Mus musculus: one gene and its partners. The protein of the gene in region 5 purifies or fractionates together with the protein of the main gene of each other region. This does not show direct contact. Links are inferred from orthologs where the notes say so. Each region holds a gene or a part of one and is shown on either strand. Other genes may lie near its edges.

What was found.
Region 1: the proteins of U2af2 (region 5) and Hnrnpm fractionate together in Homo sapiens (co-fractionation; 4 studies listed by BioGRID, with this or other methods). This does not show direct contact. The link is inferred for Mus musculus from reciprocal best matches to the Homo sapiens genes U2AF2 and HNRNPM.
Region 2: the proteins of U2af2 (region 5) and Srpk1 purify together in Homo sapiens (affinity purification with mass spectrometry; 3 studies listed by BioGRID and IntAct, counting the BioPlex papers as one, with this or other methods). This does not show direct contact. The link is inferred for Mus musculus from reciprocal best matches to the Homo sapiens genes U2AF2 and SRPK1.
Region 3: the proteins of U2af2 (region 5) and Sf3a2 purify together in Homo sapiens (affinity purification with mass spectrometry; 3 studies listed by BioGRID and IntAct, with this or other methods). This does not show direct contact. The link is inferred for Mus musculus from reciprocal best matches to the Homo sapiens genes U2AF2 and SF3A2.
Region 4: the proteins of U2af2 (region 5) and Srsf1 purify together in Homo sapiens (affinity purification with mass spectrometry; 4 studies listed by BioGRID and IntAct, counting the BioPlex papers as one, with this or other methods). This does not show direct contact. The link is inferred for Mus musculus from reciprocal best matches to the Homo sapiens genes U2AF2 and SRSF1.
Region 6: the proteins of U2af2 (region 5) and Hnrnpc fractionate together in Homo sapiens (co-fractionation; 3 studies listed by BioGRID, with this or other methods). This does not show direct contact. The link is inferred for Mus musculus from reciprocal best matches to the Homo sapiens genes U2AF2 and HNRNPC.
Region 7: the proteins of U2af2 (region 5) and Ncbp1 purify together in Homo sapiens (affinity purification with mass spectrometry; 3 studies listed by BioGRID and IntAct, with this or other methods). This does not show direct contact. The link is inferred for Mus musculus from reciprocal best matches to the Homo sapiens genes U2AF2 and NCBP1.

Annotation. Positions count from the first base shown.
Region 1 is NC_000083.6:33,647,459-33,650,958, reverse strand, and holds part of Hnrnpm (heterogeneous nuclear ribonucleoprotein M), read left to right. Parts: intron 1-561; coding exon 562-1,364; intron 1,365-2,094; coding exon 2,095-2,146; intron 2,147-3,500. UniProt on the Homo sapiens protein: Pre-mRNA binding protein in vivo, binds avidly to poly(G) and poly(U) RNA homopolymers in vitro. Involved in splicing.
Region 2 is NC_000083.6:28,602,022-28,605,521, reverse strand, and holds part of Srpk1 (SRSF protein kinase 1), read left to right. Parts: intron 1-135; coding exon 136-223; intron 224-1,977; coding exon 1,978-2,084; intron 2,085-2,668; coding exon 2,669-2,834; intron 2,835-3,500. UniProt on the Homo sapiens protein: Serine/arginine-rich protein-specific kinase which specifically phosphorylates its substrates at serine residues located in regions rich in arginine/serine dipeptides, known as RS domains and is involved in the phosphorylation of SR splicing factors and the regulation of splicing.
Region 3 is NC_000076.6:80,797,497-80,801,534, forward strand, and holds the start of Sf3a2 (splicing factor 3A subunit 2), read left to right. Parts: upstream 1-1,238; 5' UTR 1,239-1,309; intron 1,310-3,699; 5' UTR 3,700-3,736; coding exon 3,737-3,862; intron 3,863-3,959; coding exon 3,960-4,031; intron 4,032-4,038. Other genes in the region: Plekhj1 (pleckstrin homology domain-containing family J member 1), read right to left, coding at 277-343, 414-481, 585-678. UniProt on the Homo sapiens protein: Component of the 17S U2 SnRNP complex of the spliceosome, a large ribonucleoprotein complex that removes introns from transcribed pre-mRNAs.
Region 4 is NC_000077.6:88,045,895-88,050,172, forward strand, and holds the start of Srsf1 (serine/arginine-rich splicing factor 1), read left to right. Parts: upstream 1-1,478; 5' UTR 1,479-1,944; coding exon 1,945-2,138; intron 2,139-2,595; coding exon 2,596-2,780; intron 2,781-3,148; coding exon 3,149-3,321; coding exon of another isoform or gene 3,322-3,375; exon of another isoform or gene 3,376-3,517; coding exon 3,518-3,712; 3' UTR 3,713-4,278. UniProt on the Homo sapiens protein: Plays a role in preventing exon skipping, ensuring the accuracy of splicing and regulating alternative splicing.
Region 5 is NC_000073.6:5,065,143-5,068,642, forward strand, and holds part of U2af2 (splicing factor U2AF 65 kDa subunit), read left to right. Parts: intron 1-919; exon of another isoform or gene 920-1,039; intron 1,040-1,260; coding exon 1,261-1,396; intron 1,397-2,067; coding exon 2,068-2,112; intron 2,113-2,401; coding exon 2,402-2,505; intron 2,506-2,889; coding exon 2,890-3,041; intron 3,042-3,500. UniProt on the Homo sapiens protein: Plays a role in pre-mRNA splicing and 3'-end processing. By recruiting PRPF19 and the PRP19C/Prp19 complex/NTC/Nineteen complex to the RNA polymerase II C-terminal domain (CTD), and thereby pre-mRNA, may couple transcription to splicing.
Region 6 is NC_000080.6:52,076,522-52,080,021, forward strand, and holds part of Hnrnpc (heterogeneous nuclear ribonucleoproteins C1/C2), read right to left. Parts: intron 1,043-3,500; coding exon 882-1,042; intron 1-881. UniProt on the Homo sapiens protein: Binds pre-mRNA and nucleates the assembly of 40S hnRNP particles. Interacts with poly-U tracts in the 3'-UTR or 5'-UTR of mRNA and modulates the stability and the level of translation of bound mRNA molecules. Single HNRNPC tetramers bind 230-240 nucleotides.
Region 7 is NC_000070.6:46,166,011-46,169,510, forward strand, and holds part of Ncbp1 (nuclear cap-binding protein subunit 1), read left to right. Parts: intron 1-727; coding exon 728-830; intron 831-1,291; coding exon 1,292-1,385; intron 1,386-2,440; coding exon 2,441-2,544; intron 2,545-3,118; coding exon 3,119-3,233; intron 3,234-3,500. UniProt on the Homo sapiens protein: Component of the cap-binding complex (CBC), which binds cotranscriptionally to the 5'-cap of pre-mRNAs and is involved in various processes such as pre-mRNA splicing, translation regulation, nonsense-mediated mRNA decay, RNA-mediated gene silencing (RNAi) by microRNAs (miRNAs) and mRNA export.

The DNA of each region.
Region 1 (3,500 bases), on a different chromosome or scaffold from region 5:
AAATGATCAGTTTGTATGCTTGTGTATATTGAGGGTCATTTTTGTTTTATCTTTTACATGGCTGTGTGATTATTTTGTGCCCTAGAAGTGCTAAAGGAATTGCAGCAATAGTGGACATCAGCAGGGCATTTTAAGAGGGACAGGTTCTCTCAACTTGAAGGTTGTAAGTAACTTTGAATTGTCTCCTGTCAGTTACCCTGAGTATGAAGTTTTCTGTGCTTTTTAAAGAGCATTCGTAATGTCTGCTGATGGGGACACTACAAAGGTTTTTAGAAATTGAAGTATGACAACTCATAGCCAGTATGGAGGTGAAGTTTTATTCCTTCTAAATTTTATTGTGAAATTTTTACCTGTGCTATGTAGTGGAAAGGATGATTGTGTGGATTTCAATGTGAAAACTTTCAAGAGGTTTTTTTTTGTTTTTGTTTTAATAGTAAATTACTTTGAGCATGACTTCCTGATTTGAGCTTAGGATCTGAAGTGCCCAGCCAGGCACACATTAGTATATGAACATCTACATAAGTCTCTGACTTCTACTTGTGCTTTTTATTCCTGTTTCAGGTGGAGCTGGAGGCAGTGTCCCTGGGATCGAGAGGATGGGCCCTGGCATTGACCGCATTAGCGGTGCTGGCATGGAGCGCATGGGCGCAGGCTTAGGCCATGGCATGGATCGAGTGGGCTCTGAGATTGAGCGCATGGGCCTGGTCATGGACCGCATGGGCTCAGTTGAGCGCATGGGCTCCAGCATTGAGCGCATGGGCCCACTAGGCCTTGACCACATGGCCTCCAGTATTGAGCGCATGGGCCAGACCATGGAGCGCATTGGTTCTGGCGTGGAGCGCATGGGTGCCGGCATGGGCTTCGGCCTGGAGCGCATGGCCGCACCCATTGACCGTGTGGGCCAAACCATTGAGCGCATGGGCTCTGGTGTAGAGCGCATGGGTCCTGCCATTGAACGCATGGGCCTAAGCATGGATCGGATGGTGCCCACAGGCATGGGGGCCAGCCTGGAGCGCATGGGTCCTGTGATGGATCGGATGGCCACCGGCCTGGAGCGCATGGGCGCCAACAACCTGGAGCGCATGGGCCTGGAGCGTATGGGAGCCAACAGTCTTGAGCGCATGGGCCTGGAGCGAATGGGCGCCAACAGCCTGGAACGTATGGGCCCTGCCATGGGCCCAGCATTGGGCGCTGGTATTGAGCGAATGGGCCTGGCCATGGGTGGAGCCGGAGGTGCTAGCTTTGACCGAGCCATTGAGATGGAGCGGGGCAACTTTGGAGGAAGCTTCGCAGGTTCCTTTGGCGGAGCTGGAGGCCATGCACCTGGAGTAGCCAGGAAGGCCTGCCAGATATTTGTGAGAAATGTAAGTGGTTCTTTAGTGGAATTTTCTTGTGGTTGTTGTGAAGTGGGGAGGCCAGTAGACTGAATGATGTAGACTGGAGAGGGAAGTTTGATGAAGGGAGAACTGGGCAGTACGGGTGATACAGCTTGCCTATCTCCAGAGTTGAACTGGAAGTTGAGGGGTTACTGGAAGAGCAGTAGTCTTAGTGCCAGGCATGGTGGTCCACTCCTTTAATTCCAGCACTCTAGAGGCAAAGGTGAAGTGGCACTCTGGGATCCAGTCTAAAAAGAGCTACCAGGTGAGACACTGTCTCCAAAATACAAAGAAACAAAAATACAATTGCCTGGCATTGCCTGTGATATGCCAGGTGAGGAATAGACTGAGCTCTAAAGGTCTGTGGTTTCTGGTCCCTGGCTTGAGGAGCACTTCAGCCTTGGCACAGTGATTCTGAGAAAGGTAGCTGTGCTTGAGTTACGTATTGTCACCAGATTGTGAGTTGTGCCACTTAGTAGCCTAGTTCTACATAGACTTGTTTTGTTCCCTGCTGATTGTCTTGAGGTCAGCAAGTGAGGATTTGAGGGATTACTGGGGGTTCAATCTAGGGCTGTCCACACACTAGGCAAATCACTGTATACCCCATAAGCTGCACTCCAGCCCAAGTGCCTTCAAGTCATATTCTCGTATCTAGTAGAATGTTTGTACATTAAGACTTTGTTGTATCACAGATTAGTCTGCCTCTTTTTTTCCTCAGCTCCCATTTGATTTTACATGGAAGATGCTAAAGGACAAGTTCAATGAATGTGGTAAGTGTGTAACAGGCTCTCTGTGCTTCCTGTGTCGTGGCTTGGTGATGCTGCTGAGTTGGAGCAGTGGAGCTTCTTTCCTAGTCTTACCCACCACTGTCCATGGGCTCCAGAGCGACCATGGGCCTTGCCATTGTTCTACCTGCAGGTGTACAGGCAGCTGTTGGGTGTCCTGGTATGTGTCATGCTGTGTGCTCATTTCATCCTTGCAGTTCTTTTCTAGTTAGTTTTTGGAAGCAGACTCTCACTTTATAACCTAGGCAAAACTCAAGTTCATGATTCTCTTGCCTCTGCCTTGCATTTGCTGGAACTATAGGTGAATGCTACCACTCCTGCTTTTTCAGAGTTTCTGAGAGGAGGCAGTGTTGTCATCTTTTTACATAAGAGTCAGCAAAGCAGTATTCCTACGGTCACAGACTTGTAAAACACAAAAAAAGTAAATTTAAGAAAAATTGATTTCCTCCATTAAACTCATAGCTGGTTTGGTTCCTCGGGAACTCATGCTTAGCAGTTGTAGGTCTGAGCACACAGTATGGGGTGAAAGTCTGGTTGTGGATTCTTAACACGAGGCAACCTTTCTGGAAAGCTTCTTTGATGACCAGGATGCAGTCGTCCCCTGCTTGCATTGCACCTTCTCAGCTAAACCAAGATGTGGGTGGCTGCTGGATCAAGACACCTGTTTCTTGTTTCCTCATGCAGAAATGGCTCACATTCCAATGTTCTTGGTGTGTTCCTTGATTCTTTGGGATAAGCTGTAGAGTCAAAGCCAACTATCTTTCCTAGTCCCGTGATTCTCTGAGTTGCAGTTTTCACAACAGTCAATATTGTAACTAGATATTCCAAAAACTGGGAATGGAATGTGTCACTCTCCCCACTTCTGAGAAAATTCAAACTCAAAAGATTCTGCAGACTTGGTTACATTTCTCTCCTGCCCTTGAACATGAGTTATATGTTCAGGTATATCCTCTGCTTTCCTGCCAGAAAATTCTCTCTGCCCCTTTGCTTTTTTCCTCCCCCTTTTCTCTTTTTGAGATAGGCTTCAAAGTCCTTATGTAATCAAGAATGACCTTAAACTCTTAGTTGTATTGGGGAGGGGGGTGACGGGGGGGGGGGGGATATAGATTGGGCCTTTTAAAACTCAGATGGCCCTCACTATATAGCTAGAAATAACCTTGAACTTGTAGTCTTCTACCTCCTGAATGCTTGGATTACAGAGGTAGCCACCCTGCCTGGTTTGTACAAATGCTGGGGTTCAACCCAGGGGTTTTATGCATGCTAGGCAAAGCACTGTGCCCACTGAGCTGCATCCTTAGTGACCTTGAATTCTTGATTCTTCTACCTCCAACTTCCAAGG
Region 2 (3,500 bases), on a different chromosome or scaffold from region 5:
TCTTTTCATTTTTTATGGTGGGTTGTAGTAACAGCAGTGTGGGAAAGAGGCTCAGACAGCCTGCTCCTCCCTGTTTACTTGAGGACTGACTGTACTACTTCACTTGTGCTAAAATATGGCTTCCTCCCAACACAGGTTCGCAACTCAGACCCGAATGATCCAAATGGAGAAATGGTTGTTCAACTACTAGATGACTTTAAAATATCAGGCGTTAATGGAACACGTATCCTTTAAGAGCTTTTTTGTTGTTGCTGCTGTTTGTTTTGTTTTGTTTTCTCGAGACAGGGTTTCTCTGTGTAGCCCTGGCTGTCCTGGAACTCACTCTGTAGACCAGGCTGGCCTCAAAACTCAGACGTCTGCTGCCTCTGCCTCCCTACTGCTGGGATTAAAGGCGTGCGTCACCCCGCCTGGCTTTCTCTCTGGTTTTGCGTGCGTGAGTGCATAGTTGCAGCCCTTGAGCAGAAGCTGGTTACTGTCCTCTTCCCATCCTTCCTGATGCTTCTGTGCCTGGTACGTGGGCACTCGTGAATACTTAAAAGGGACATCGGCAAATATCCACCATGGTGGTCTAGCTTTCCCTTTGGTACCTTGTTGTTTTTCCACCTGGGATGCCTAGATTCACAACTGAGAGTCTACCTAGAGTCTCAAGACCTTCCTCCTGAGGGACTCCTGCCCCTGTTGCCCAGTGCCTGCCATCATCTGTTTAAGTTTGTCTGTTTGAATCAGGCAAATAAGAGCCCACTAGGCAGTGATGGCGCACGCCTTTAATCCCAGCACTTGGGAGGCAGAGGCAGCCGGATTTCTGAGTTCGAGGCCAGCCTGGTCTACAGAGGGAGTTCCAAGACTGCCAGGGCTACACAGAGAAACCCTGTCTCAAAAAAAAGAGCCCACCTGTCGGATCCCTTAATTTAGGTCTGTGGTTGCTTTCTCGGGTTTGTCAGTTTTGTCTATTGTACCTTGAGGGATGTGTGTTCTTTATCGTGCTGTATCAGCACCTGTGAGCAGATCCATCAGGCTTATCACTGAGATGCTGCCCGCTGTGAAGGTGACATGCTTTGTATGACACTGGTCTCATAGGTCGCCTACAGGTCTCTCCGGAGGCTGAGTCCACAGGCGCCATGTTCTCCCACTGTGGCAGTTTATTACTTGGCCTTGGTGTTCTCTAGTAAACGTGTGCTGCCTCTCCTCAAACTCTTTATGTTAACTTTGACCCTAAAGTAGGATGCTAACCCAATGGCCTGCAGAGTGGTGGTGCTTCTCCACCCAGTCTGGGCCACATGAAGAGACCGTGGGTAGGCAGCACGCAGGCATTAAGATCGATGCATGGAGTGTCTGTATAAAGCGAGTCAGGGATCTGTTTTTAAATTCTCAGGGAGGGTTAGTCCAGTGCCGAGGTACTTCCCTCGCAAACACTAGGTATGTTCCACTCTACCACAGGCAGAGAGCTTGCCACCTTCACCTTTCAGTTAAGTTTTGCATCTTCTTTGTTCTTCATGTTGAGCCTGTGTGAGTGGTCATGTTACACACACACACAAGCCCGATATTCTGAGGGGAACCTGACTCTGAGGGGACGACTAGACTGATCTTTCCTTCCACCTTCTGAGTGTGTTTTCTCCTCCTAAACCAACTTTTTTTTTTTTTTTAAATTTTCTTTTCTTTTTTTTTTTTAAAGATTTATTTATTTATTTATTTATTTATTATATGTAAGTACACTGTAGCTGTCTTCAGACGCACCAGAAGAGGGCACCAGATCTCATTATGGGTGGTTGTGAGCCGCCATGTGGTTGCTGGGATTTGAACTTCGGACCTTTGGAAGAGCAGTCGGGTGCTCTTACCCACTGAGCCATCTCACCAGCCCCCTAAACCAACTTTTTTAAAGTAGTTCTGTGACTGAAAAGACTGTTGATGCTGGAGTCTACCTGCTTCCTTGGGCCTCTTTTTTTTTTTTTTTTTTTTTTTTCCTTAATGAACTCCTAGATATCTGCATGGTGTTTGAGGTTTTGGGGCATCATCTACTCAAGTGGATCATCAAGTCCAACTATCAGGGGCTTCCGCTGCCTTGTGTCAAAAAAATTATTCAGCAAGTATGTATGTTGGTTATTGCTATGTGGGATACCCCTCCCCTCTATTGCCTGCCTCTTTGAGAAGTATCTAACTATGTTATGTAGACCACGCTGCCCCAGAACTTAAGTTTGCTTCTGCCTCCTGGGTGCTGGGATTAGAGGGTTTCACCACTACACCTGGCTGATGGTATCTTTATTTAAAAACCTCCGGTGTTTTCTCCTGACAAAACACAGACTGAGGATCGGGCTGGGAAGTGACTCACTTGGAAATTGTCTGCATGCGAGTGTGGAGACAAGAAAACTTGGCATTGTGGGCTTTTGTTTTAGTTTGTTTTTTTCTTATGTCTGTGTGGTGTTTGCCTCCATGTCTACGTCATGCATAGGCAGAGTCCAGATGAGCATTCCCTTAAGCTGGAGTTTAAGGTGCTTGTGAGCTGTCATATGGTTGCTGGGAATTGAGCCTGGGTCTTCTGGAAGAAGAACCCAATGCTCTTCGCTGCTGGGCCAGCTGCACCTGCGAACCCTCTCTCTGTGCGTTGTGACTCTTCCTTTCCCAGCAGGCTTGGACCGTGTGTTACTGAAGCTCCTGCTTTATTCTCACTTAGGTGCTACAGGGCCTGGATTACTTACACACCAAGTGCCGGATCATCCACACGGACATCAAACCAGAGAACATCTTGTTGTCTGTGAATGAGCAGTACATTCGAAGGCTGGCTGCAGAGGCCACAGAGTGGCAGCGCTCAGGAGCTCCCCCACCATCGGGGTCTGCAGGTACATGGGGTGCTTTGCTTGAGTCAGACCCTCAGGAGGAATTTCTGTTTTCATTTGTTCACAAAACAGCAGAATTGTACTCACTGATTATTTTAGAGATAGTAACAACATTAAAGAGACTGGTATTTCTTCCAAATGGGAAGAAAATGAACAGTTGTTATTTTTTTAGATAAAAAGTATTCGATATAGTAAAATAGCTGACTTACATTATTGTTTTAGAGTGTTTTTATTTGATGGGCTTTTCCATTTGATTGACTCCTTTGTAGGGGCATGTAGCTCAGTATATGTGGGTGTTAGGACAGCTTTCAGGAGTTAGTTTTCTCTGCCACGTGGTTCCTGGGGGTCAGACCAAGGTACTGAGGCAGCATCTGTCTTTGCCTGCTAAACCAGGCTTCTGACCACTGTCATTTTCATTTTTTAGGATGTCTTCTTATACAGTATGTAGGCCAGGCTGAATTTGAATGCCTGATCTTTCTGTCTTAGGCTCCCCGGGGCCTAGATTGTAGCTGTATGACACTGGGTGCTCCCTGGGTGGCTGGCTGTGGTTTGCCTCTTGGTGCTCACACATGCTCACCTACTGACACTGTCAAGTAGCAAGTGCTGCTGGATTGTGTTTATCGAGGAGACCTTGGCCCAGTTAGGAACTGTGGGAGTTGGACTCCCGTG
Region 3 (4,038 bases), on a different chromosome or scaffold from region 5:
GGCCTTAAAGCCTGCCCGTACCCTACCCGTGGCAGAGAGGGCGGCAGAGACTGTTCCTGCTATACACCCCACGTTCGCAGACTGCACCTCTCTCAGTTGGGAACGGGCAGAGGGGTCGGAGAAGAAACTAAGCGAGAACCAGACCCAGTGGGCACTCTGAGTGATAGCTGGGCCAGTCCTGGGCCACCAGCGGACGCGGGATCCAGGACAAACGTAGGCTCCTAAGGGAGTAAAAAGGATCGGGTGTGCGGAGCAGAGTCCGGGATGGAAACTTACTGATGGAGAAGCCGCCCGGTTCTTCCTGGGCCACTCTGCAGCGCTCCAGCAACAGGGCTCCGAGGGGCTGCGCGAGACACGGCCATGAGCGCCGGCCTCCGGGCCGCGCGGGTCCCCCGCGCCCCCCACGCCCCTACCTCGGCCTCGTCCGGGCGGAAGTAAAAGAGGAAGTTGACCACCAGCTTCACCAGTCGCCGCTTGGCCACTGTAGGCACAGGGCGGTGTCAGCGCGGAACTGTTCTCATTCGCCCACCCAGGAACCGCGCCGGCCCGCCCAAGTGCCCCAGCCGCAGCCCCGACTGGCTCACCGCTGCCCTTCTTGGGGCCCCGCATGCCCAGCTCGGCCGCCATCTCTGCCGGCTGTCGGGACAGCGCCTGCAACTCTTTCTCGTTGTACCGCATCCCGCCGCACGGATCCGCGCGAACCAACACGCGCCCTGCCTCTCGGCCGCCGTCCTCCCCGAAGCCGCAGCCAGCGCCACAAAAGTCTCAGAGAGCGATCTCGGAAGTCCCAACCCGGTTACTGCGCCTGCGCGTTGTTGGGCTGGTTGCGCGGCCCTAATTTATGGGTCTGCGCGGTTGAACAGAGTCAGACGGGAAGGAGATGGCCCGTCCTTAAATAACCGCCAGACATACTAAGCGTGAGGTGTAAGTTAGACTCAGAGCACTCCACGATGAGCGAAGCGCCTTCCTGGGCCGGTGAACCCTAACGCTTTCCTCTTGTCACGATAGCCGGCGCCGCTAGACTTAGGGCGGAGCGAAACTGTGCGGTCGCTGCAGTGAGCACGCGCACTCTGCGCCCCGACGCTCCTTTCTCTCCCGCCTACCGAAGACGGAAGTCCATCCGCTGGGCCTGCGCACACACGAAACGCCGACGCCTTTGCTCCCGGAAGGGATCGCTTCGTCGGTCGTGCGCACGCGCGCGGCGAAACCGCGGCCTTGGCGGAGATTAAACCCGGATAGCGAGGCCTTAGCGTTGGTGAGGAGCTGCACAGTTTGTCGGTGGCGGCTGCTCCGTCGGGGAGGCTTGAAGGTGGGAGCGAAAGCCCGGGGGCGGGACGGGGAGAGGCAGCGGCCGCCCTCTTGCCTCAGGATCGGCGCGCGCCCGCCGGGAGAGCGCGCTCTCGCGAGGCCCGTTGGGTCGCCGCGTGATTGCTGGCTTGGGTGGCGCTTCTGTGGCCTCCAGGGTGGTTCGGGGTGTCCGAGTGGCGTCTCGGCGTGTATTTTGACCTCCTTGGTTGTTTCCGTTTCCACCTTCGTTAATCGGGGCCCTGGCGACCACTGCTCCTGTCCACCGGAGCAGGTCCCTTGCTGGGATTGAAAGATAACGGTATCTGCACATAAAAGGGATTTGTCCTGGGACCAGGCCTCCTCCCAGACCATTACCTTAACATATACCACGTCTCTGTCCTTATTGATCGTTCATCGGTAATCTTACGGTAGTCCGTGAGGTTGCGCATCTCCCGTCCCTGCGTCCTGGCCTCCTGTCCCAAGTTTCACGTGTGAGCCCCTCCAGTCATCGGCACAACTTTTCATTTATTTCAGACAGGGTCTCACTGCTTAACTGGGGCTGACCTGCAACTCGGTGTGGAAACTTGGCCGATTTCCAGTTCACAGACATTGCCATGCCTCTGCCTTCTCTCGCATAGTGGGACTTACAGCATGAGCCACCACACTTGGCTGTTTTGATTGGTTTTAAGGAATCGAGGGTTTATTTTGGCTGATGGTATGAAGGTGCGGTCTGCCGTGGTGGTCGTGTTGCAGCAGTAGTCAGCAAGCAGATAAATGCCCTTCCCCGCGTTTTTAAAGATTTTGTTTTAATGTGTCTGTGTGGAGCTTTGTGTGTGAGTGGGGTACCCATAGGGTCCAGAAAGGGATATCAGAGTCCCTGGAGCCTACCGCCACCCTTTTTTCTTTTATCTGAGATAGGATCTCACTGCACAGCCCGGTTTGGTCTCTAACACTAACCTAACCATCTTCCTACCTTGGATAAAGAAATGGGATGAGAAGTGTACACCACCACGCCCTACGTTTTCTGTGTTTCCTGGGGTTGGGAACTGTTGGTGGGCGTTTGCAGAGCTTGGTGCCCCATCCACAGAGCAAGCAGTGTGCTCACCCAGGCCCCAGTTTTGTTTTGCTTTTCTAAGATTTATTTATTTATAATGAGTACACTGTAGCTGTCTTTAGATACACACCAGAAGAGGGCATCGGGTTCCATTACAGATGTTTGTGAACCACCACATCATTGCTGGGATTTGAACTCAGGACCTCTGGAGGAGCAGTCAGTGCTCTTAACCGCTGAGCCACTTCTCCAGCCTGCCCAGGCCAGTTTTGTCCTAGTGTTTGTTTTCCCTCCAAAGCTCATGAACTAACTGCATTTTTGCAGTGGGTACCCATACACATTCAACCTCAAACATGTACCCCTAGGGGACCTTATGCATGATGGACAAGTGTTCCACCCTTGAGGTGCACCCTCACATCTGTGGCTGGATACCCAGGCTCCCTGCAGAGGCCAGGTATAGAGTCCTATGTTCTTGAAAGTTGTCTTTGCCAGCGGTTGAAGTGGTTTTCCATCCTGCTGTTGCGGGTGCCCTCTTGCTCTGAGAAGCCCATGCTGCCACCCTTAGACTCTGCTCTTGCATCTGGCCAACTTCATCTCTGGGAATGTGTCTCTTAGTAGCTTTCAAAGATGTAGACAATGCTCTTTTCAGTCCTTAAGTGGCTGAGTATGAAACATCCGACAAGCTGGTTCTGCCCCACCACTTCCATATACATCTTTCAGCCATTCTCTCGGCATCTAGAGCATCTTGTATCCTTTGCATTCTAGCCTCTTTCTCTTTGACAGCCAGTGGTATCAGTGTCCTGTCTGTCCCAGACACACTCTGTGGTGACACTGAGGTAACTAGGTACCTGGCCCTCAAGGTTCTTAAGTCAAATTTGCAGGAGGCTCCAGCAATATTAACAAGGACTGCCTCCACTTGTTTCCTGAGTACTGTCTCTGAATTTACCTATAGGTTTAAACCAAGGGCTGGGGCTGACACTGAGTAGTCTAAAGTGTTCTGTCATCAGATGACACTGCCTATAGGCTTTGGTTGAGCCTCAAAGATGGGACCCTTGGTACCAAGCACTCCATATGCCATGTGTCAGGTGGAGGAGGGCGTGTCCTTTAATGCCTGCAAAGGCAGGCACACAGGCCAGCCTGATCTATGTAGAGAGTAACCATGACTACATAGAGAATCCTCTCTTAATAATAATAATAATAATGAGAAAAATTAACAACAACACCGGGGAGAGGTGGCTCAACTGTGGTCACAGCTCTTAGGAGGATCAGGAGTTCAGCGAAGGGAATGACCTGCCTGCTGGGCTACCTCGTCCTAGCATCATGTACAGTGTTCTGAGCCTTAGCTGTCCTTACTCCCCCAGGTTTCTTCCTGTCCCCTGAAGCACCCAGGCCTGCATCATGGACTTTCAGCACAGACCTGGAGGCAAGACTGGGAGTGGGGGCGTAGCCTCCTCCTCTGAGAGCAACCGGGATCGGAGAGAGCGTCTGCGCCAATTGGCCCTGGAAACCATTGACATCAACAAGGTCGGGGGGAGGGGGTGCCAGTTCCCACATCCACAGAGCTCTCACATGCCTCAGTCCTTGGTTCATGCAGTCTAACGGTACATTTATTCACTCCCAGGACCCGTATTTTATGAAGAACCACTTGGGATCCTATGAGTGCAAACTCTGCCTGACTCTGCATAACAATGAGGTATCTG
Region 4 (4,278 bases), on a different chromosome or scaffold from region 5:
CCCCCACTCTCACTGTCCTTGATTTCTCCAGCCAGTCTTAATATTTAATGGTTTCATTTTAAGCAGCCCCACATCCTTGGACTGTTGTAAATAAATGATAACATCCAGGGGCAGCAATGACTCAGTGACTCATCTGGTTAAGGTGCTCCTCCCAAGCCTGACGTTTCATCTCGGGGGCTCACATGGCATGAGTGGTGAACTGCACCTTATTTTCTGACTTTCACACATGGGCCATGGCATGACCCACCACCCCAAGACACAATATGCATAACATAAAAATTAAAAACTAAAAATTACAGTATAAAGAATCACCCTTAGAACCTGTGGGGATCCGACTTAGCATATTTATTAGTGATAGGGTCGACACAGCTCTGGCTGGCCTTGAACCCTGAAATTCCGCTTCCCAAAAACTTCAAGAGGCATTTACCACTACGCCTGGCTGTCTCTATCCAATCATGAAAGGCTCTGGTTTTAGCTGGGAGGTAGTGACTTTGATCCCAGCACTCAGAAGGCAGGAACTCCAGGACAGCCAGGGGTACACAGAGAAATCGTGTCTCAAACAAAACAACCCCAAAACAAAAACAACACCAAGAAAACGTTTTGTTTTTCAATATTTTTAATAGAAAGGGTTTCCCTGAATGTCCCGGGCTAACCTTTCCCCCCGCCTCCCCTTTGGTTTTTCGAGACAGGGCTTCTCTGTATAGCCCTGGCTGTCCTGGAACTCACTCAGTAGACCAGGCTGGCCTCGAACTCTGAAATCCGCCTGCCTCTGCCTCCCGAGCGCTGGGATTAAAGGCATGCGCCACCACTGCCTGGCTCCGGGATAACCTTTACTAGAACTGTGTATAACAGGGTAGGCTGGACCCTCCTTGCCTCAGCTTCCGGAGTGATAGGATTTCAGGCACACAAGCTTAAGTCCAGATTGGTTTGCTTTTATTATAATTCGAGTTCATTAACAACACTACAAGGCCGTATGATTTCACACGTAAGGCTCTTCTATTCCCGTTATTACAAAACAAAGAAGCAAAATTGTGGTATCCAATGCAAGAATCCTTTTGCAGATAATCTTGGCAAAATAAACAAATAAATAAATAATCTCCCTAGACCAGCACAGAACCGGGATCTCGGCTCTGCAGTTAAACTGTTTTATCACTCTTCCTTTTTCATCCTTAGAAAGGAGGAAGAGGAAAACTCAAGGCACAGTTTTCATTTAGATAGATATGGAGGATCCGTCTAGACACTTTAACTAAGATGCAGCCCACCGCAGGTTCCCAGAGGCAGAAGCCACACTGCTCCGCTTCGGCTTTTAAATGAAATCACCTGCAACTCCCGCCGGCGGCACCGAAGTGCAGAAGATGCCCAGGTTTCCGGAGCAACAGCTCAGCGTCATCTATCTCCGCCCCGCGGCGCCTTTCCCGCCAAAGGCCGTTACCACCGCGGAGCATGGTGGGACACGCTTGCAAGATAGGTTTCACCCAATCTTTTTAGAGCGCCGAGCTGCTTTCAGAGAGGGTCTACCCCCGAGGTGGCCGACGATTCTGGACTCAGTGGGGATTAATAATAACCGCTTTAACCAGAGCATGTGATTTTTACTAAACGCCTGGACGTTCCAGCAGCCAGTCAACCCGCCAGGACGCGAGGGACTTTTTCCCCTCCGTGCGGAGGGTGACGTCGCGCGTGCGCGAGCGTGCTTCTCAGCACCCGTTAGAGGCGTGCGCCTGCGCACTGGGAGGGACGAGCCGCTTCCTCCGGCTTCTCTTCCTCCCCCTCCCCCCCGGTATCAGTGCGCCGAGCTGATAAAGGCGCCATTTTGGAGCGGCCGCGGGAGACGTGGTGCCGCTGAGGGCTCGCTCTGCCGTACGCTAGGCTTGGTAGGAAGGCCTCTTTTTTTTTTTTTCCTTCCCCCCCCCCGAGTCCGCGCTTTTCGTCGTCGCCGCCGCCGCCATGTCGGGAGGTGGTGTGATCCGTGGCCCGGCGGGGAACAACGACTGCCGCATCTACGTGGGTAACCTACCTCCGGATATCCGAACCAAGGACATCGAGGACGTGTTTTACAAATACGGCGCCATCCGCGACATCGACCTGAAGAACCGCCGCGGGGGACCGCCCTTCGCCTTCGTTGAGTTCGAGGACCCGCGGTGAGGCAGCGTGGGGCGTGCGCGGCCTTGAGGAGATAGCGTGGAGGAGTTGGGGAAGGCTCGGAGGCCTTGGAACATAATGGGGGGAGAGGAGGGGCTCCGAGGCGCTATCGCCCCTGCAGGAGTCGAGTCAGGAGAGCCGAGAGGCGGCGCGTTGTCTCCGGTGGCCGGCCGCCTCGGACGTCCCCCCTACCCCCCGAGCCCATGCGCAGCCCCCGGAGCGGGAAACCGAGGCGCTGAGGGCCGGCGAGGTGGTCGGGAGCCTCTGCCCGGCGTGGTGCTGGGTGGGGGAAGGGCCGGCCCTATTATGCGGCGCATGTGGGGCTCCGTGTGGCCCCGTGGGTGCGCATGTGCGCTGTGGCCGCGGCTTTTCACCCCCGGAGCGGGCGAACGAGCTGGGTCCGGCGGCTCCCTCCCCTCATCACCCCCCCCTTTCGCTTTCTGTGATCACACGCAGAGACGCGGAAGATGCGGTGTACGGTCGCGACGGCTACGACTACGACGGCTACCGGCTGCGGGTAGAGTTTCCCCGAAGCGGCCGCGGGACCGGCCGAGGCGGCGGCGGGGGTGGAGGCGGCGGCGCCCCGAGAGGCCGCTATGGCCCGCCGTCCAGGCGGTCCGAGAACAGAGTGGTTGTCTCTGGTGAGTTGACTTCGTGCGGGTTAAAATCTTTTTCCCGCATGACTGCTTTGAGTACTGCAAGGTTTTTGTTATTGTTGTTTTTGTTTTGTTTTACACACGGGGTCTTGGACTACTTCGGTCTTTGGGATGAATTTAGTAAATAAAGATTACTGTGGTGGTGATTTACCCAAATTAGGTTGCAGTACTAGCCTATGAAGATCCTTTACAAATAAATTTGGACTCTGGATCTGACTCTTACCAGCTCTTTACCTGGAAACACTTAAGTACAATCATTAAGTATTTTAAAATAATCCTTGTTCGAATGTACTTTACACGTTTGCCGTGGGACAGGATGAGTAGTATTAAATTAGGGGGAATCGCTTTTTCAGGACTGCCTCCGAGTGGAAGCTGGCAGGACTTAAAGGATCACATGCGTGAGGCAGGTGATGTATGTTACGCTGATGTTTACCGAGATGGCACTGGTGTCGTGGAGTTTGTACGGAAAGAAGATATGACGTATGCAGTTCGAAAACTGGATAACACTAAGTTTAGATCTCACGAGGTAGGTTATACACTTATTCTTTTTTTTGGCCAGAATTGGATACAGTTTTCTTAACAGTGGAATTTGAAGGTAAGGATACAGGCAAGGGTGTTCACGTAAATTACCAGAGCCCTGATCTGTCTTTGTATTCGTTCAGCTTGTCTGAAGACAGGTGAAAGCTTAGATCTTTCAATGGAAAGTTCTGTCTATCCAATAGGGAGAAACTGCCTACATCCGGGTTAAAGTTGATGGGCCCAGAAGTCCAAGTTATGGAAGATCTCGATCTCGAAGCCGTAGTCGTAGCAGAAGCCGTAGCAGAAGCAACAGCAGGAGTCGCAGTTACTCCCCAAGGAGAAGCAGAGGATCACCACGCTATTCTCCCCGTCATAGCAGATCTCGCTCTCGTACATAAGATGATTGGTGACACTTTTTGTAGAACCCATGTTGTATACAGTTTTCCTTTACTCAGTACAATCTTTTCATTTTTTTAATTCAAGCTGTTTTGTTCAGAATGGGCTAAAGTGTTGAATTGCATTCTTGTGTAATATCCCCTTGCTCCTAACATCTACATTCCCCTCATGTCTTTGGTAACTTGTATTTTAAGTGATGTCATAGACAGGATTGTTTAAATTTAGTTAATTTCCATGCTCTTCAGACTGTGATATTATGTAAATGTCTATTCTGCTCTGGTTTGTGTGAAATGGGATGTTGGGGGTGTTTGTGGTTATCTTACTTGGGGGAAGTTCTTATGTTTATCTTGCTTTTCATGTGTCTTTCTGTAGACATATCTGAAGAGATGGATTAAGAATGCTTTGGATTAAGGATTGTGGAGCACATTTCAATCATTTTAGGATTGTCAAAAGGAGGATTGAGGAGGATCAGATCAATAATGGAGGCAATGGTATGACTCCAAGTGCTATTGTCACAGATGAAATTGGCAGTATTGACCTTATACTAGAAGGCGAGGGTTAAAAATTT
Region 5 (3,500 bases):
TGTGAGGTGAGTTTAAAATCTACTTTGAAAATTTTCTCATTGATTTTTTTTTTTTTTTTTTTTTTCCTACTGCCAATCTTAGAAGTCAATACTTTTGGGATACACCTGTTTCGGTTCTTGAGTATGTTTGTTTTTGAGATAGGATCTTAATTTAACTCACTAGCCAACTCTTTTTCTTTTCCTGTGTCAGCCTGCCACATGCCTCATCACTCCTGGTTGTGTTGCTCTGTATGGGTGCGTGGGTTGATGGTTGAGAGATCGGTGGTACTTTGGAATTAAGAAAATGTATTAAGGCGATCCTGGTTTAGCGTCTACCTGAAGTGGGTAGTCTGCAGAATAGGAGTTATATTGTGTTTTGGTTTAAGTTGGAACCCAACTAATGTACCTCTAGCTGGTATGGAACTTGCTATGTAGACCAGGTTGGCCTTGAACTCTCAGATCCACCTGCCTGCCTTTGCCCTCTGAGGCTTTGTAGTTTTTCTTGCAAGGCTGTGCTCTGTTATTAGTAGCCATGGCCTCTAAGGCAAAGAAGCAAAGGAAACAGTAGATAATGGTGAAGACACAGGTTCTTATTCTAGCCCACCCTGCTTTTGGCTTTGAGGGAGTGAGGTAGCCAGGGGCTGGTGGATGCGGCTTTCTGGACCATGAGTTGAAATGTTTGGGAGGTATCTTTTCCTTCCTTTCTGTACATTTAGAAAGAAGCCCCTCCCTTTCAGAGGGTGTTTACTCTTGCATTATTCACCTGGCTGGGAAGGGATGGAATTGAGTTTCCTCACTTCTTAAGGTTACTAGGTCTGCCTGGCACCTGACCCTGGGGTCTGATGGTGGGGCTTGTGGGTACCAGCTGGTTGCAGAGGTTTTTCCTGAGGGTTTGGTGGGTTTCTTCAGGAAAACATCATTGGGTCTCTTGATTCCCCAGCCTCTAGCCCTGCCCCTCTCAGGGACGACCCTGAGGTCAGGCCCCTCAGCCCTCGAGGGGGAACAGGAGCCAGCTTCCTCTGTCTTCTCTGGCTCCTCAGCTCCTCTTGAGCATCTTCAGGTATCTTACACCCCGGGGGCATTTCCAGGCCCTGACCCTTTGGTTCCTCAGAGTCCTTGTAGACTCGTGTGTGGACCCAGGAGGCCTGTTGTCTCCTTTTATTAAAATCCCTTCCCTTGGGGGGGAGGCCTCCCTGGGTCTTGGTATAGCCACCAGCACGCAGGGTGGGCTGGGCCTGCACTTTCTCTTCACTCATTCCATCTCTTCTCACACTTGTCCAGAGCGGGACAAGGAGAATCGGCACAGGAAGCGTAGTCACAGTCGCTCTCGAAGCCGAGATCGAAAGCGCAGGAGCAGGAGCCGAGATCGGCGCAACCGGGACCAGCGCAGTGCCTCTCGGGATAGGAGACGACGAAGGTACTAGAGCTCTGGAACCTCTGGCTGGATGACTGGTCTCTGTGTTGGTACTGCTTGGTCTATCTTGAACTCCGTTTTCTCTGTTTATGGGATTTCTTTCAGTTTCTCTGGCAGTGCTAAAGGACTGCTGGGGGCAGTAGTTCCTGGGGACAGAGACTTTTTTTTTCCCTTTTCCTCTCTCTAAGGGCAAGGCTGTCCCTGTCTTTAAGGGCCCAGTTAATGTTTTGTTCTCTCATTCTGTTTGGGGCTGTTTTGAAGCCCTGTTTCTTCTTCTTCCGATGTGTTCTGGGAGTAGGGCAGGCTGTACCTGAAGCCTGAGCCTTAATTTTCCAGCTCAGGGCTATTGGTTTAGTTATTTAGAGTTATCTTCCTTTCCTGGGTTCCCTCATTCTTTCTGTTCCTTCTAGGTAAGGAGGTGTGGGATATATGAAGAGCCTCCTTCCTTATCTCAGTTTCTCCATAGAGTGGCATAGTCTCTTCCTGCTTATTACTTCCTCTTTCCTGGGAATGGTAGGGTTGGGGGGCTTGGCAGGGCTGAGGGGGCCAGCATGTTCCTCGGTCCTGCCTTGGTCTTGGGGTTCAGTGACCTTGGGCATGGTGTGTTGTGTGGGGAAGACAAAGGTCCCCAGTCACTCCTCCCCATACCTTTCCCTTTCCCTCCCACCCCTCAGCAAACCTTTGACCAGAGGCGCTAAAGAGGAGCACGGTGGATTGATGTGAGCTTCTCTTCCTGCCCCTTCTGCCCCATGTCCACTCCCTTATCTCCTTCCTCACCTGTGCAATTTGCCTGCCTTGCATCCCCACCCTGGCCCTAGCACTGGGGAAGAGGCTCATCTGCCAGTGTCCCTCCTCAGGCCCAGGCCCAGCTCTCCCTCCTGGAGAGAGTGGAGCTTATGTGTGGGAGGGTGTGGTGGGCTGGGAGGTGTTCCCTTATGGGACTTGGAGGCCCAGTGTTGGTCAGACTGAGGTTGCCCTGCCCCACTTTCCCCCTCCCCCCTTCCCCAGTCGTTCTCCCCGCCATGAGAAGAAGAAGAAGGTGCGTAAATACTGGGACGTGCCACCGCCTGGCTTTGAGCACATCACCCCAATGCAGTACAAGGCCATGCAAGGTAGGCCTCTCCCTCCCATAGACTGTTGTAGGGGTTAAAATATTGTGTGTGTGTGTGTGTGTGTGTGTGTGTGTGTGTGTGTTAGGAGTTAAAGTTCTGTGTGAGAACATGTTTGGTGAATCTGAAGGATCATACTCAAAGGCTTCTGGTACCTACCATGGGAAGCGCTGCTGCAGGAGGGAATGTCTTCCACAGTGGGCCGCTTAGGAAATCAGACTTCTTAGTAGTGGGTATTGGATGGGGCCCCACTGCTGAGTTGACTTGGGTGATTGAAGAGCTTCCTGAAATCATCGTCTGGAGGGTGGCTGGGTAGGGTCAGTGTACACTGAGTGGTCCTGGTTTTAGGGTTGCTGATGGTTTTTACTCTCTATACCTCTCTTGAAGCTGCGGGTCAGATTCCAGCCACTGCCCTTCTCCCGACCATGACTCCTGATGGTCTGGCTGTGACCCCAACGCCAGTGCCTGTGGTTGGGAGCCAGATGACCAGACAGGCCAGACGTCTCTACGTGGGCAACATCCCTTTTGGCATTACTGAGGTACTGCCCTCCTCCTACCCCTGCCCTCTCCCCTGTTTCCCCACCCTGTGCCTCCCCACCCTCCATTCCCTTTCCCCAACCTGCACGCGTCAGACTCTGTTCCTGCAAGACCCCCCGGCCCCCTCCCAGACGGACGGATGGAGTTGAGCCAGCCAGGGGCCGGGCTGGGGGTGGCCCCTCCCTCCCTCCTCTTCCCCTCTCCCGTCTCCCTTTCCCCAACCTCCTCCAGCAACCCAGGGATCAAACACACACATAACGTACCCACCTACATATTGTACCTACGTGTTGGAGAGAGACAGAGAGGGAGACTCAACACACGTACAAACAGACGCACGCCCCTACAGTTTTCTGACATGCTCTCCTTTTCTGCCGTCTATCCACATCCTTTTCCCCACATCCCTCCCATGGTCGCTGTTCTTTTGTTTTTGGTAGTCCTGACCTCCCCCACCTTCCCCACCG
Region 6 (3,500 bases), on a different chromosome or scaffold from region 5:
GATGGCTCAGCGGTTAAGAGCACTGACAGCTCTTCCAAAGGTTCAGAGTTCAAATCCCAGCAACCACATGGTGGCTCACAACCATCTGTAACAAGACCTGACTCCCTCTTCTGGAGTGTCTGAAGACAGCTACAGTGTTCTTACATATAATAAATAAAATCTTTAAAAGAGTGGTGGTGCATGCCTTTAATCCCAGCACTCCCAGGCAGAGGCAGATTTCTGAGTTTCAGGCCAGCCTGGTCTACAAAGTGAGTTCCAGGACAGCCAGAGCTACACAGAGAAAACCTGTCTCCAAAAACAAACAAACAAATGAACGAACAGTGTTGATGTGTCCCTGCCTCCCTAATGGAGGGATGAAAGCCATTACTACTCTGGATCCACCTCCACATTTTTGAGAAAGGATCTTTCAGTGAAATGGGTGGGAGCTCACTGATTTTGCAAGGTTAGGTGGCAGGCAGGTGCAGGGCTGTGTGTCAGCCTAAGAGAAGTTAAAGACATCTAAGATGGTCTGCTCTATATGAATGCTTGGGATACAAACCAAGGTCCTTACCCTTGAAGCATTAGCTTTACTAAGTGGACATCACCCAGACTCAAGTTTACACTCTAGTTATGTCAATGCTAGCAATTTCTCAAGAACAGGAAGAATAGGTAGCTAAGTGGTTGAGTTTGCTAGTTTATACTTGCAGAAGCTCTCAGGGAAGTTCAGTTCTCAACACCCAAATCAGATTATCTCACACCCACAACTACATCTTCAGAAGAATCAACACTCAGGAATAAACACTGGCCCCCACCCCTTACACACAAATGCCAGGAAAAAAAAGCACTACCTGGGAGGTGGAGTGTGCTGCATAAAAAACACCAAACAAACAAAAACAACATACATTTTCCAGACTTGGAAGAAGATCCCCTTTGTCCACTCTTCGAATTGAATCCACTTTTGCCCCTTCGTGAGGTGTTCCCTGAAACACGCTGACGTTTGGAAGGCACCACAGCTCGAGCAATAGGAGGAGGAGGAGGAACCCGCGCTGGGTAACTGTACATCCTGTGGGTTAAAGAAATAATTCTTCAAAGTGAATATTTAACTCCAGCCAGGCATGGTGGCCCACACCTTTAATCCTAGCACTCCCGAGGCAGAGGCAGGCGGATTTCTGAATTTGAAGCCAGCCTGGTCTACAGAGTGAGTTCCAGACAGCCAGGGCTATACAGAGAAACCCTGTCTCGAAAAACGAAAGAGAGGAGAGGGAGAAGGAGGGGAGAGGGGAGGGGAGGAGAGGAGAGAAGAGGGGAAGGGAGGGAAGGAGAGGAGAGAAGACGGGAAGGGGGGAGGGGAGAGGAGAGGAGAGAGGAGAAGAGGAGAGGAGGAGGGAAGGGGAGAGGGGAGAGGAAGGAGAAGAGATTAACTCAAGATACAACCAGAGCATAACAACAGGATTACTGGTTTTAGTCACCTCTTTTCCTTTTTATGTTATTCAAAACTCAATTTGATGAAAAATGCTGCAAGAGGAAAGAGCCCCCCCTCACACATACAGTAAATGATAGGCTTGACTAGACTTAAAAAATGGACTGTTTCCAGTTTATGGAAATTTTAAGAGAATGTAAGTTAGAATGAATTGCTTTTACCTTATACTTAAACAATTCACATAAAGTCAACTACAACAAAAAGGTGTTCTGATTTTATTCAAGTTCTAGATATTATTCTGAGGCCAGTCAGAATAATTTATGTGAATTTTTTTTCTCCATGGAACCCTGGAAAGTAAATATGACCCATCATACTTGGTGGCAGACACATTTTACCTGCTGAGCCATCTCGGAGGAACCAAGATAAGTTAATTTTAAAAAGTTTTGTTTTGAATTTATTTTTGTAAAATTGAAAAATTTTAGTGTTAACACATTACTTTCTCCAGCTCTACTATATTTAACCAATTTGTTCCCCTTTCAGTGTCATTGATTTCTGTGGTTCAAGGAAGAGTTTGCTAGCTACTTCTTTTGAGTTACAAGCTGAAAACACTAGGAAAGGTCCTATTACACTACGAATTAGCAGTAAGTTTTTACAGGACAGGAGTATCTGCGTATTACTTGCTAAGTGATAGTTTTAATCAATACTAAGTTATAGGTAATGAAGTAATCTAGAGAAAAGTTTACAGTGTTCAATGGAGCTGGAGCTCTGCGTACTACAGAAGGATGCACAGTTTTATAGGGACCATCTCTCATTTATGTGGCTTCAGCAGTCACAGGAACTTAACACTAACCATCTCACCAAGTACTGTTAAGAATGGTATACATAGTCTTTGAAAAACTATAAAAGTCAGATGTAGTGGTAAATCATGTAACCCCACACTCAAGAGACTGAGGCAAGGAGGATCTTGGGCAGACCTGGGCTACATGAGACTCCCCAAGCCAGGAGCAACAAAACACAAGAAAGACCAAGTCTAAACAAAACAAAAGCAAGGTCATTACCACTTTCAAAAAGTACAATGGTTTAGACTAAAACATCTATACTACAAAGAGAAGTCTCCCAATATATGCAAGAGCAATGGTGCCAATTATATGACTTATGGAATCCTTCATCTGAATTTATTTTTCTCATTTTTTAAGCAGGTTAAACATGAAAGGCTGGGGCTGGTGAGATGGCTCAGTGGGTAAGAGCACCCGACTGCTCTTCCAAAGGTCTGAAGTTCAAATCCCAGCAACCACATGGTGGCTCACAACCATCTGTAACAAGATCTGACGCCCTCTTCTGGGGTGTCTGAAGACAGCTACAGTGTACTTACATAAAATAAATAAATAAATCTTTAAAAAAAAAAAAAAAACAACAACAACATGAAAGGCTATGGAAGAAAATGTTAACAAACATCAATGATATATTTAATGGGAAGAAAAAATTTTAGTCTCCCTGAAAGACTTCCAAGCCAAAAATAATGTAGGCTAATGTAGACCACAAATTCACTATCATATCCTGGCTTTATACCTTAGCCCAAGCACTAAAAAAATTTAGCATTATTGGAGAGATGGCTCAGGGGTTAAGAGCACCAAATGTTCTTCCAGAGGTTCTGAGTTCAATTCCTGGCAACCACGTGGTGGTTCACAACCATCTGTACTGGGACCTGATGCCCCCTTCTGGCATTCAGGCATACATGCAGATAGAGCACTAATATACATTTTAAAAGATTTACTTGTATTTATGAGTGCACAGTAGCTGTTTTCAGACACACCAAAAGATGGTTGTGAGCCACCATGTGTTTGCTGGGAAATGAACTCAGGGCCTCTGGAAGAGCAGCAGTGCTCTTAACCACTGAGCCATCTCTCCAGCCCACAATAAATCTAAAGAAAAAAAAATAGCATTGCTTATTATGCATGTCTCACTGTCCTTTGAGATCTTTTCAATATTAGTGTTCTTTCGTCAGAGGTCCAATTTAGGGTTGGGGCAAAGTATCGGTTAGAATCTTCCTAGTACCTGAATTCAGGATGTTTTTATCTCAATCCCTAAGACTTCCAAGCTT
Region 7 (3,500 bases), on a different chromosome or scaffold from region 5:
AAAGAGCAGATGACTGGTCTGCAGAGACAGCCCTTTGCTTGGGAGTGCACTGAAGACGTGTTAGTCAGCTGTGGTAACAGGAGGTTTAGACTTGGCAGAAGTTGTAAGCTGTAGGTTTAAAGGTTTTGCTGGTTTTGCTTTAACATTTTGACATCTCGTAATCAGAATATGGAAGAGGGATGTGTGATGGTTTTAAGCAAACGGGTCATAAGCCAGGAGTGGTAGTGCAAGCCTGTTAATCCAACCAAGTTTGAGGTTCCTGGCCAACAACAGTGCATAGTGAGAGCCTGCCATAAAAACAACCCTGAGCTATATAGAAGAACTCTCCCATGAGAGAGAGTTAAGGGTCTGCTTTTTCACGAGGGATTGACATGAGGTCTTGCTATGTAGCCTTGGCTGGCCCAACTTAGTTTTATGTTGTCAATGTGTGAAATCAGGAGTGTGGTGTTGCTTTTACTAGAACATTATTATATGTTCATATGTTATTAGCAGTACAAGGTGTAGCACCAAAGAATTACTATAGTTAACTTGGGAGGGGGGGGGCGTTTTTTCGAGACAGGGTTTCTCTGTGTAGCCCTGGCTGTCCTGGAACTCACTCTGTAGACCAGGCTGGCCTCGAACTCAGAAATCTGCTTGTCTCTGCCTCCCAAGTGCTGGGATTATAGACATGCACCACCACTGCCCGACAGTTAACTTTTTTTAAATCTTACTATAAAATATTTTTCAGATGAAGGGTTCAGATTTAACCCTTTGAAAATAGAGGTCTTTGTCCAGACTCTGCTGCACTTAGCTGCCAAGTCCTTCAGTCACTCCTTCAGTGCTCTTGCAAAGTAAGTATATACATTTGAGCACCAGTGCTGTACTAACTTGCCTAAAGTTGTTAAATATGAAGATCTTCTTACATAGTTTGCTAGAGTGGGGTTTGGTTTGTGGTGGCTTCCTTGAGTGTGTGCAGTGTAGCTGTGCATGTGGTGGGTAAAGCAGTGCCAGCCTAGGTCCCGGGGACAGTCGTCTACACAGGCTGAGGGTCCGGCCTATCTTGACGCCTTTCCCAGGAGAGGAAGCAGCAACGAGAGCCTGCCCGAGGGTTGGCATGTAACGATAGCAAATCTGGTAAGAGTCCATGAGGAAAGAGCACTCTCCTAAGCTGATGAAGCTTCCTCGGGCGCAGTTCCAACACATGTGTGGGCTTAGGGATGACTCTTTGTCTTTTATTATGTGCTATATTTTAAATTCAGTGACACTAAAGGGGCTTCTGAGTAACTCTGGTACTTTGCACCTTTGTCTAAAGGTTTCATGAAGTCTTCAAAACTCTGGCGGAGAGTGATAAGGGGAAGCTGCACGTGCTGAGAGTCATGTTTGAAGTGTGGAGGAACCATCCACAGGTAACGCCTGCTCACTGGGACGTGGGCCTGGCTATGGAGATACACACGTATGACATTAGGTAGATTGGAGTCTGCCAGTAGTAGAATGTTTTTTAAGTCTGTACACTGGGTGTTATGGAAATACTTAACTGATACATTCTTCTTGGTAGATTTTTAAATTACACTGAGCTGTTGCTTAGGGGTGCATGGGAGGGTCACGGGGCCTATGCGAAGTCAGAGGACAAATTTCAGGTCTGTTCTCTCCTTCAACCATGGTGAGTCCTGGGTATTGAACCTGGCTTGTCCAACTTGCCATCGAGTGTCTTAGCCATTGAGTCATCTCGCCGGACCTTGGTAACATTCTTCAGGTGGCATTGGGATTGGTTTTGTGCTAAAGCAATTCCACACATATTAGATGCTGAGGAAGAAAATTGTTTGACCACAATATTTGGTAGGAAATAGTTGTCATGATTATCCATTTCTACAAACAAGACCCATAACATTTTTAAGTAGGGCCAGACATATATATATACTTTTTTTTCTTTTGTTTTTGTTTTTGTTTTTCGAGACAGGGTTTCTCTGTGTAGCCCTGGCTGTCCTGGAGCTCACTCTGTAGACCAGGCTGGCCTCGAATTCAGAAATCCGCCTGCATCTGCCTCCCGAGTGCTGGGATTAAAGGCGTGCACCACCACGCCCGGCTTATATATTTTTATAGAGGTATTATCAATGAAAGTTTTCTTAAAGAGTATGTGCTACCATTCAAGAGTTGTCTTTTCATGCAATCTTTATTATTAATATAGTTTTCTTATAATATTAGAGCATAGCAGAAGGCAGAATAAATCTAAAGGCTGACTAGTCTAATCAAGACTAATGGCAGCACTTGGGAAGTAATGGCAGGAAAATCAGGAGTTCAAGGCCAGCCCTAGCTATATGAAACCGTGTCTAGAAGAAAAAAAAGACGAGCTATGGCTTAAACTGGTCAATTCTCTTGCCATTGAAATCACATTTCATAGCCGCACTATTTCATTTCCTAGCATTGTTTACCACCGTGCCTGCTTGTCTCTTCCTTGTCGTAGATGATTGCTGTGCTGGTTGATAAGATGATTCGTACGCAGATTGTCGACTGTGCAGCAGTAGCAAACTGGATCTTCTCATCGGAGCTGTCTCGGGACTTTACGAGGTCTGAACCAGAACTGTATCACCAGTAACAGTGTGATGTTACACAGGCTTTATAGTGATCAGGACCAAAGAGCAAGGGCTAACATATTGTGAAAACAAATGAAATAAAATCTGTGACAGTCTTAACTTTTCCACTACACCCACTATTTGCAGAGCACACTTGTCAGAAATATACCGAGGCCTGAAGTGTCATATGATCAAAAGTTTTTACAGGGCCAACAAGATGGCTCAGAGGGTCAGGGGGCTTGCTGTCAAGCCTAATGGTCTGAGATCCCTGGGTTTGATCCTCAGAGCTCACATGGTAGGAGAACCAACTCTAATGTTGGTGTTTTATTAAGGGGTGGACAAGTACAGGTTATGGTCCTGCCCCCTGGGAGCCGCCTGCCTGACTAATGTGTGGAGACGGATGCTTCATAATTCACCGCAGGGCTGAACTAGTGTTGCTGGAAAAGACTGCTTCATTCTTCCCAGGGGACAGAAGGCCCCATCAGCCCCTAAGAATGATAGGCTGAAACTGTAGATATTTCCTCTGCAGTAGCATAACATACATTAACCAAATGCTGTATTACTTTAAGGTTGTTTGTGTGGGAAATTTTGCACTCTACAATTCGTAAGATGAACAAACATGTTCTGAAGATCCAGAAAGAGCTAGAAGAAGCTAAAGAGAAACTGGCGAGGCAGCACAAACGAGTAAGTCACCTGCCGACCTGAGGGCTCACAGGTTGGGACAGAATCTGCAGGGTAGTCCGAGCCATTGCCGTGACACTAGGCTTTTTCCAAGTTACATAAAACTGCCACATGCTATGGCACTGATGTTGACCACAAACTGTTCCCTAGTTTACCACCTCTAAGTGGCTTCCTAGAAGAAACTTGTATATCTCTAAGTCTGGCACAGAGGAGAAGAGACACAGTTGGAGAGGCTGAGGAGAGGTGGGACAAGTTAGTCTCCGTCCCGAC